2 linked regions of the Nothobranchius furzeri genome follow. The protein of the gene in region 1 interacts with the protein of each later gene in a pairwise test. Links are inferred from orthologs where the notes say so. Each region holds a gene or a part of one and is shown in the gene's direction. Other genes may lie near its edges. The genes, in order: tp53rk and tprkb.

What was found.
Region 2: the proteins of tp53rk (region 1) and tprkb interact in binary tests that used the Homo sapiens proteins (3 or more experiments, as listed by UniProt). The link is inferred for Nothobranchius furzeri from reciprocal best matches to the Homo sapiens genes TP53RK and TPRKB.

The regions. Positions count from the first base shown.
Region 1 is NC_091753.1:42,148,837-42,153,067, reverse strand, and holds tp53rk (EKC/KEOPS complex subunit TP53RK), read left to right. Parts: upstream 1-1,608; coding exon 1,609-1,813; intron 1,814-2,957; coding exon 2,958-3,445; 3' UTR 3,446-3,720; downstream 3,721-4,231. Other genes in the region: wdr53 (WD repeat-containing protein 53), read right to left, coding at 1-1, 1,458-1,560.
Region 2 is NC_091741.1:55,582,625-55,586,625, reverse strand, and holds tprkb (EKC/KEOPS complex subunit TPRKB), read left to right. Parts: upstream 1-1,340; 5' UTR 1,341-1,608; coding exon 1,609-1,749; intron 1,750-1,877; coding exon 1,878-2,000; intron 2,001-2,101; coding exon 2,102-2,278; intron 2,279-3,001; coding exon 3,002-3,088; 3' UTR 3,089-3,337; downstream 3,338-4,001. Other genes in the region: alg10 (dol-P-Glc:Glc(2)Man(9)GlcNAc(2)-PP-Dol alpha-1,2-glucosyltransferase), read right to left, coding at 1-7, 80-277, 965-1,129. UniProt on the Homo sapiens protein: Component of the EKC/KEOPS complex that is required for the formation of a threonylcarbamoyl group on adenosine at position 37 (t(6)A37) in tRNAs that read codons beginning with adenine.

The DNA.
Region 1 (4,231 bases):
CCTACATGAAATGTAATCAGGAGAAAAGTAAACGTAGCATGCTAAAATAAAGACAAACATTACATTTAACCAAGAAGGACTTAAAAAAAAACTGTATTTTACTACCAAAAACAAAAAAACTGAAAAAATGAATAAATAAAACTACATAAAAAAGTGTCCACTACTTTTCTTCACTTTATAAATATGAACAACTGATCCCAGTCACTAATTTATAATATACTGTAGATTTCTGGAAGAAATTTAAATAAACAACAATTTACTACTGTACACACAAAAAAGACTGTCAGGATCTGCTCTTGTCTCCATTTTCAAGTGTTTATTGGATTCATCTGCCCCTGGTTATCGTACCTACTTGATTTATGTATACCCCGAGCTTGATTAAAATTTAAAGTCCCAATAGACGTCACACACACTGGTGTGGCAAAATTTCTCCCCAGCATTTGACCCATCCCTGTGGGGAGCGGTGAGCTGCAGACACTGCTGCACTCGGGAACTCTGCCACACTTAGTGCTGAGTGTCAAGCGGGGAGGCATTGGGATATGACCACCCAACCAGGGATTTGAACCCCAATCGGATCTCCCAGTCTAAGGGCAGACATTCATAGCACTAGGCCACTGAGCTGGTGTGTTGTCTTTGACAGATTCTCACCGTGTCAAACCTGATTTGCCACCCTACCTACCATTATCCATATTAAACTGTTCTTTTGCCTGCTAGTCTGCTGCCTGTCCACCTGCATTTGGGTCCCAGTTCAACACTCAACATTGTGACAGTGATAAGTAATATAAAACAAATTAAATGTAATACAGATTGAACGAAGGACAAATCTGAGTTAATATTCATTTGGTTTAGCTCTTAACTGATCACTATTTCTAAAACTTCATATTTATTGTCATACTATATTTTGGACTAGTTTTAACACTCTTGACAGCTAATCTGGCTTCATGTTTGTTTTATAGACTGTAAGGAAAACACGTTTTTCACCTGCCAGACTCGTCCTGTCTATGTACAGTCTATGGTCTATTCACATTGCATCCCATAAGCATGGCTGGCCAAACTACATTATCACGTGTTTAGCTAAAGCTACAATACCATACTAAATGTGTTTGTAGGAATAGCGTGGTGGTATTTTTAAAATGGACCTAAAGGCCAAAAAGCATCAGTGAATTTAAACAACAATAATTGTACGAATCTGTTCAACCCCAGGAAGCTGATAGTTTTAGCTCCGCGGCTAACTCGTTAGCCAAAAGGCTAACTATACAACGTCAACATCATATAACATTTTTGCAGCGCAGACAAATATCTTTGTTTCGATTTTAAAATTTAAAACGACTCAGCAGGACAGTTGTGAAGGACAACTTCATAGTCAGAAAATTACGCTACCTTAACTTGCGACTATCGACACACGGTCGACTGTAAAAAAGCCAAACTTCAGAAACACAGACATGACGTAGACGTACCATTTGAGGACGTAAAAGCGTCACCGCCATATTGGATGGGTCTCACTTCCCAAAGCCGAAGTACACCGACCGTGCCGTTCCCTTTGTGGCCGCTGTGTGGCATTGTTCTCAAATAAAGCCAACCAACCAAACACAGAAGAAGAACGCAAACATGGCGGTTCCCCAGTTTGTCGGTAAAGCAGATTTAGTTAAACAAGGAGCAGAAGGCCGCGTGTACCGGGCACAGTTTCTCGGTAAGCCGACCATAGTGAAAGAGAGGTTCCGTAAACGCTACCGACACCCGGTGCTGGATGAGAAACTGACCCATCGCAGGACAGTTCAAGAGGTCCGCTCCATCCTCCGCTGCCGGCGAGCAGGTACTCCTTCTGGGCTCTGCCCGGTCCCGGTGATACCGGATCCTCACTAAACCAAACCCCTCCTCATTTAACTGCATAAGTATTCAAGGTTTGGCTAAGAAACTGTTTTAAATTGAATAAATTGGCCAGATAAGTTAGAAATCACTAACTATGTAAAAAAAAAAAAGCTCATTCATGATATTTCACCACTCTTGAAACATTTCCATGGTGTTTAATCAGCAGTTTATGTGATTTATACCAGTATAGACTTATTGATTAAGAGTCTTATGCACAGATTAAAGATAATTTTCATCTTTCATAGAAACGTATCGTTGTCCCACGGCTCATTTTTCATTACGTTTATTTAGCTCACGTAGAAACGTTTGTCCGATTACAGTGTAGACCAGGCTGGAGTTAGCTTCTGATTAGATTGTTTCAAAGGTGATTCCATTCATCCTTTCATCTTGACCACCTATACAGCTTTAATTATTCACTCTAAAGGCAGAATGTTTAAACAATATTTATACCCTACATCACAGCAGGTGCAGCTCCAAATGATCATAATGACATGATTAAAATTTGATTTAAAATGCCCAATAGCTATAAAAACCTAGTAAATGCCTATTTATAGTCATTTGACCAATCACAGTCAGGGAGAGAGCATGCCAAAAACAGTTTCAAAGCTGTGGGAGTGCTGCACACAGCGAAACATCTCACAGGGATTTTGAGTTCATCATCAAACATGTACCACAGTTTTTCTCCTTTCAACCTTTTCTTTTTTGTGAGATGAGTTTAAGTGTATATAGTTAAACATAAATACAGATAGTATTTAACCATGTTAAAACGCAATATTAGAAATGTGGATAGTATTTTTCTGGTATGAAATGGCCACCAGTATGCTACAGCCTTAGTCATTTAAAGACACCCCAGTTTATTGATTTTAGTTGTCCCCATCTGAGTTTGCAGGTATGAGGACAGGTTAATTCAGTCACAGCAGCACTGGGACGTGGGCGTGATTTTGACTTTGATTGGATTTATTATTTATAAGGAAAATGAGACGAAACATGAAAATGATCCCATCATTCTGGATGCAAAGGCTAATGCAGGTCTCTAGCTTAACTTTCCTACATCCTTGACATCACATAAAACTGTGTCTTCTCCACAGGCATATCTGCTCCAGTGGTTTACTTTGTGGACTACACCTCCCACTGCATTTTTATGGAGGAAATTGCAGGATCTTCAACTGTGCGAGACCACATAGTCTCCACACAACAGGCTAACTCCTGTAAGGAGCTGGAGCTGCAGCAGCTGGCTGAGCGAATCGGCCGGATCTTAGCCAAAATGCATGATGAGGATGTCATCCATGGAGACCTGACCACCTCCAACATGCTGCTGAGGTGCAGCTCACAGGACACAGAGTCTGACCTAGTCCTTATTGACTTTGGCCTCAGTTACATCTCCTCTTTGCCAGAGGATAAGGGAGTAGACTTGTATGTTTTAGAGAAGGCATTCCTCAGTAGTCACCCCAACACAAATGTGCTGTTTGAAAAACTGCTGCAGAGCTACACCAAGTCATCAAAGAAGTCTCCAGCGGTCATCAAAAAGCTGGATGAGGTCAGGCTCAGAGGCAGGAAGCGGTCCATGGTGGGCTGAAGGGGGTTTCTGTTGCAGAACAAGAAATTCTACATTATTTTGAACAAATGTCTTATTATAATAAAAAGTAGTTTCAATAATCCTAATGTGATTTACTTTTTGGTCCACTTCACTACTTGATTTCATATGTAGAAAAAAATCATGCAAGTTTTTCTTTTTCAGGAAAATCTCTCCATTAGCTAACAGTAGTTTAGCTAACATTTGCTCTGCTAATCTGTTGAACAGTGTGGCTTGAATATTGCTATAATTAAACTAGCATGTTTTGGGCAACTCCATATTTTTATGTCTAGATTTTCTTGTAATGTTTTACAGTATTTCAACAGTATTCTATTGACCTTTTACTCTTTGGGTATAAAAAGGTTCCAAAAAATCAGCAAACAAATTTAAATTGGATTTAGACACTTTGGACTTTTCTGGAATTGAGATGTTTATTCCAGAAGCCAACTTAAAGAAGAGCCCTTTCATTCCTCATGAACTAAATTAAAAAACTGTGCTAAATCTTGCTGCTCACAGAGTATTTAGGAGGGGAGGTAATGAAAATTGGAAATGGAAAGAACATCAGTTCTCCATAAACCGGCCACAGTCAGGTGCACTACATAAGATTCTTTTACGAGGAGTCCAAAGAACAATCAGGAAAGTTCTCCAAGAGTTAAGAACAACCGGAGCAGAACTTCAGGAAGACCTTGCATCAGCAGGCACAGTTGTTTTTCGAAAGGAAACTATATGCAAGGCACTGAACCATCATGGCATCCATGCATGCTCACCACACAAGACTCTATTGCTGAA
Region 2 (4,001 bases), on another chromosome or scaffold:
TTCTTGTCTGAAACAGAAGTGAGATTTTAGAGAACGAGCAAAAACCACAAACCTGTTTATCCCACTGATTCTGTCTTACCTTCTCCCTGAAGTGCAGCTTGCAGATGAGCAGGTAGATCACATAGAGATTGCCACAGTTGAAATGCAGGTTGATGAAGCGCAACATAGTAGCAGAACATACGATGTCACCCGTCAGGTCGGCAAGCCACACCACAGGCTTTATGATGCCCACGGAGATCAGGTAAAGGCCTGGTGGGGTGGTGATCATCGGGTCCCACTGTAGGGTTTGTCAGCAACATGAGATTAGAAAAACGTTAAACCAAAGAGACTCTCAGCCTCAGCTGTCAAGAAATACAAAACCTTTCTCTACATTTCTGTACTTGCTAGTCAGGTGGGGATTGGTTTAAATCAGGATTTATAAAACTTAAATAGTTGTTTCTGATCTCCAAAACATCACTATTTAATAGCTGTGTCTAATAAATGTAATAGCTTTCTTTTACATCTGAACATGTTGTAAATCAATGTTTTTTGTCAATATTTAGCATGTTGTATATTTGAAATTGATCAGCAATTATATGTAGTCTTTGTTTTGTTATTTTAAATATTTAGTAATTTTGTGTTTGGATCATTCAGTAAATCTTTTGGGGTTCTTTTTTCACAATTGTAGAATTGGATTTAATAATTTACGTTACCATTTCATATTACAGTCAGATGTTAATACATTCACTGAACATATCAGATTATTAAAAATATATTTCAACTACCATTAAAAAAATAACATTTGTTCACTAAAAATATTCTGGATCCAGATTAAACGTTCCAAGCTGAAAACTAATACGGGATTAAAACCTCTACAAGCTGCCACATCACTGGTGAAATTACAAAATAAAAGCCCAGCTGTTGGCTAATCCTAATCATCTACTCAGTTTCCGTGACTACAACTGCGTTAAAAAAATAATGTTACCTCGTTAAATTTCCCATGGCAGTATTTCTGAGCTTGCGGAATGTGAAAGATCTCGTCCATGTACGGCTCCCTCTGCTCTCGGGTGATTTTAGAAAACACCAAACAGGATATCAAGAAGTTGGTGCTGCAGAGGGCAGTGAAGATGTACCCTTCAAATTTCTCCATGTTGGACGGTGGAGCTAAATTTAACAATTAGTTTGTTCCTAAACTAAGTATTGTATTGTTTTATATCGCGCATAAAGATCTAATTCGAGGATTAAAGCTGATCCACAACAGAAACGCGGAGAGAAACGGCATTAAGTTCGTTCAGTGATGCTAAACGGAAGTATTTGTTTTCAACAACGGTATGTCCGCCTTGGAAATGTGTCCGACAGGGGATCGCCACTTGCCAGTGTTACAAGTATTCCCTACATTCGTTAAAAAAACATTTAGCGTGATGAATGGTGATAATTAGTTCAATTTAATTGAATTTTTAGACAGTTTAACTTAATGTTATTTTTTGCATAAACTCCTCGGTTTACGACATTTCGTTCCATATCGTGTTTCTGTATTTTAGTTCCGGCTGTGCGTGTTTGTTGTTCGTTAACGACAAGCAGCGCCATAAATGGAATAAAACCACCTAATTTTGTCCAATATTTTTCAACATGCACCTTACTCGTGTGCTGGAACTGTATCCCGATACCAGAGTGACACAAATACTTTATAAGGATGTCAAAAATGCAGCAGAGTTGAGACGAAAAGCCATGGAGGGCAACATAAACGGTGCTCTGGTCAACCCCACGATGGTGAGTCTACTGTAATTGTTTGGTGTCAAAATTTAAAGTGGCTTCTTATATAAAATTTGTACATGCTTACATTTTGAAAATTATCCTTGTAACGGGTAAATTGTTAGACTTGTTTTGTACTTTTACAGCTAGTTGGTCCTTTCCAAGTGTTGGTGGCTGCAAACAAAGCTGTCCATCTACAGACAACTGGGAAAATGAAGACAAAAACTTTAAACGCAGAAATAATCTTCAATCTCTCACCTACTAATAATGTAAGTGACACAATGAAAATATTCAGGCAAAAACTAGAATTTTTCTGACTTTTGTTTCGCTATTATCATTGCCAAGGTTTCTGTCTTCTTTCTAAAATCAGATCTCAGAGGCTTTTAAAAGATTTGGCATCTCAGATGGTGATCACTCCATCCTAGTGGTTGTGGTTCACAAGAGTGATGAAGTACAGTTTGTGTCAGACATCAGCGCAATGGTGGATGGACAGCAGCTTCCAGTGGATGATGTGTCCTCGCTGTCTGACTTCAACAAGATCAAAAAGGTGTGACTCGTGTTCAAGGATGTCTCACTCTCTTAGTTTATATTTTTATGTCCAAATCCATAAAAGTAGTGATGTTATTACTTAATTTTTAAAAATATCAGTTTTTCCTGTTTCTTTGAGCTTGCAATTTATGCTTCAATTAAGTGATTTTTTTCTGAGAACCAATTATTCTATATTTTCCAATAATTTATTCCATCATAAAATCAAGAGAAAGTTTACACTTAAACTGTTTTGTTGTGCTTTTCAAGGTTTAATTGGAATAACATTTTTTTTATCCCTTGAAAAATTGCAAAATTAAATTTTAGGACGCCCACCCCCTCAAAAAAACAAAATAAATAAATAAATGAAATGGATAAACTCACCTTTCTGTTAGTAGGTCATAAAATCTAGAAGAAGTTAAATTTGATAAAAGTTTTTGTGCTTTTTCTGCAAAGCCTCTCTTGTTTTAGCAGGACAATGCTAAAACTGTATGCTGTAAAATTATCCAAGAATTTCCTTAAATTCTGCACATATTTATTTTATAAATATATGATAAATAATCTAGCGTATCTCTGAGTCATAGGACAGTACTATCATACACACAAACACACGGTAGTGACAAGTTGCACAGCTGCCCTGGGAATTGCTGACAGCGACTAGGAATATCACTTGACATGATTTCTCACTTTGAAATGTAAATGTTATTGTCAAATAACTCATTTTAAGCTGCATGTCTCATTACAGCTGTTTAAAATCACCCCTCAGGAGGAGAAATGTGGGCCTCTGCTTGATGCAGTCGTATGCAGAATGGCCATCAAGGATGTTTTATAACTGCAAAGGACAGAAAACCAGAGCAGCCCTCGTGATTTGATGCAGTTTGTGTCAAATGACACGCGCACTCACACAAAGCTTTGTCTCTGTGCTGAGTGAAATGTTTTTCATGCTTTTTGCTTATTTCCTGGATTTGTTCCATACCATGACTATGTAATACAGATAAAATGTTTAAAGGCATTTAGAGAAATCCTTCAACAATATTTAACATTGTCCTCATTTTCTACAATAAACGGTCCTCTTTCTGAATATTTTGAATGTGTTTTGTCATTTTGAGGCTCTGAGTCTTTTTACCAGCAGGGTGTAATCATGTGAACAGGTTCTCATGCACAGCTCTGATAAATGATAGATCCAAAGTGCTCAGAGACAAATGTCAGTAAAATGCCTGAAGACTAAAACAACAAAAAATCAGTCTAGCATGAAATTGTTTTACCTGTCAAACCTCTGCTGGAGAATAAAGCAAATGGAGCAAATATTTGGAACATTTAGGTGTACTCTTACATACGGGTGCAGGTTATAAAGTTAAAATATCATGACAAATGTGATTTATTTTAGTAATTCCATTCAAAAAGTGAAACTTGTATGTTAGATAATTCATGACACACAGACTGACATACTTGAAATGTTTTTCTTTATCTGACGAATGAAACTCCAAATTCAGTATCACAGAATATTAGAATATTGTGAAAAGGTTAAATATTGAACTGGTGACACACTAATCAGTTCAATAAATCAGAACACAGCAAAAATATTTTAAATGTCTCAATTCAGTTCTGTAGACTACACAATGGGAAAGACTGCAGACCTGACAGTTGTCAGGCAAGTCACACAAGGTGAAGAGGCTGGCTGTTCAGAGCTTTGTGTCCACGCACATTAATAGAGAGGCAAAGGGAAGAAAAATGTGTGGTAGAAA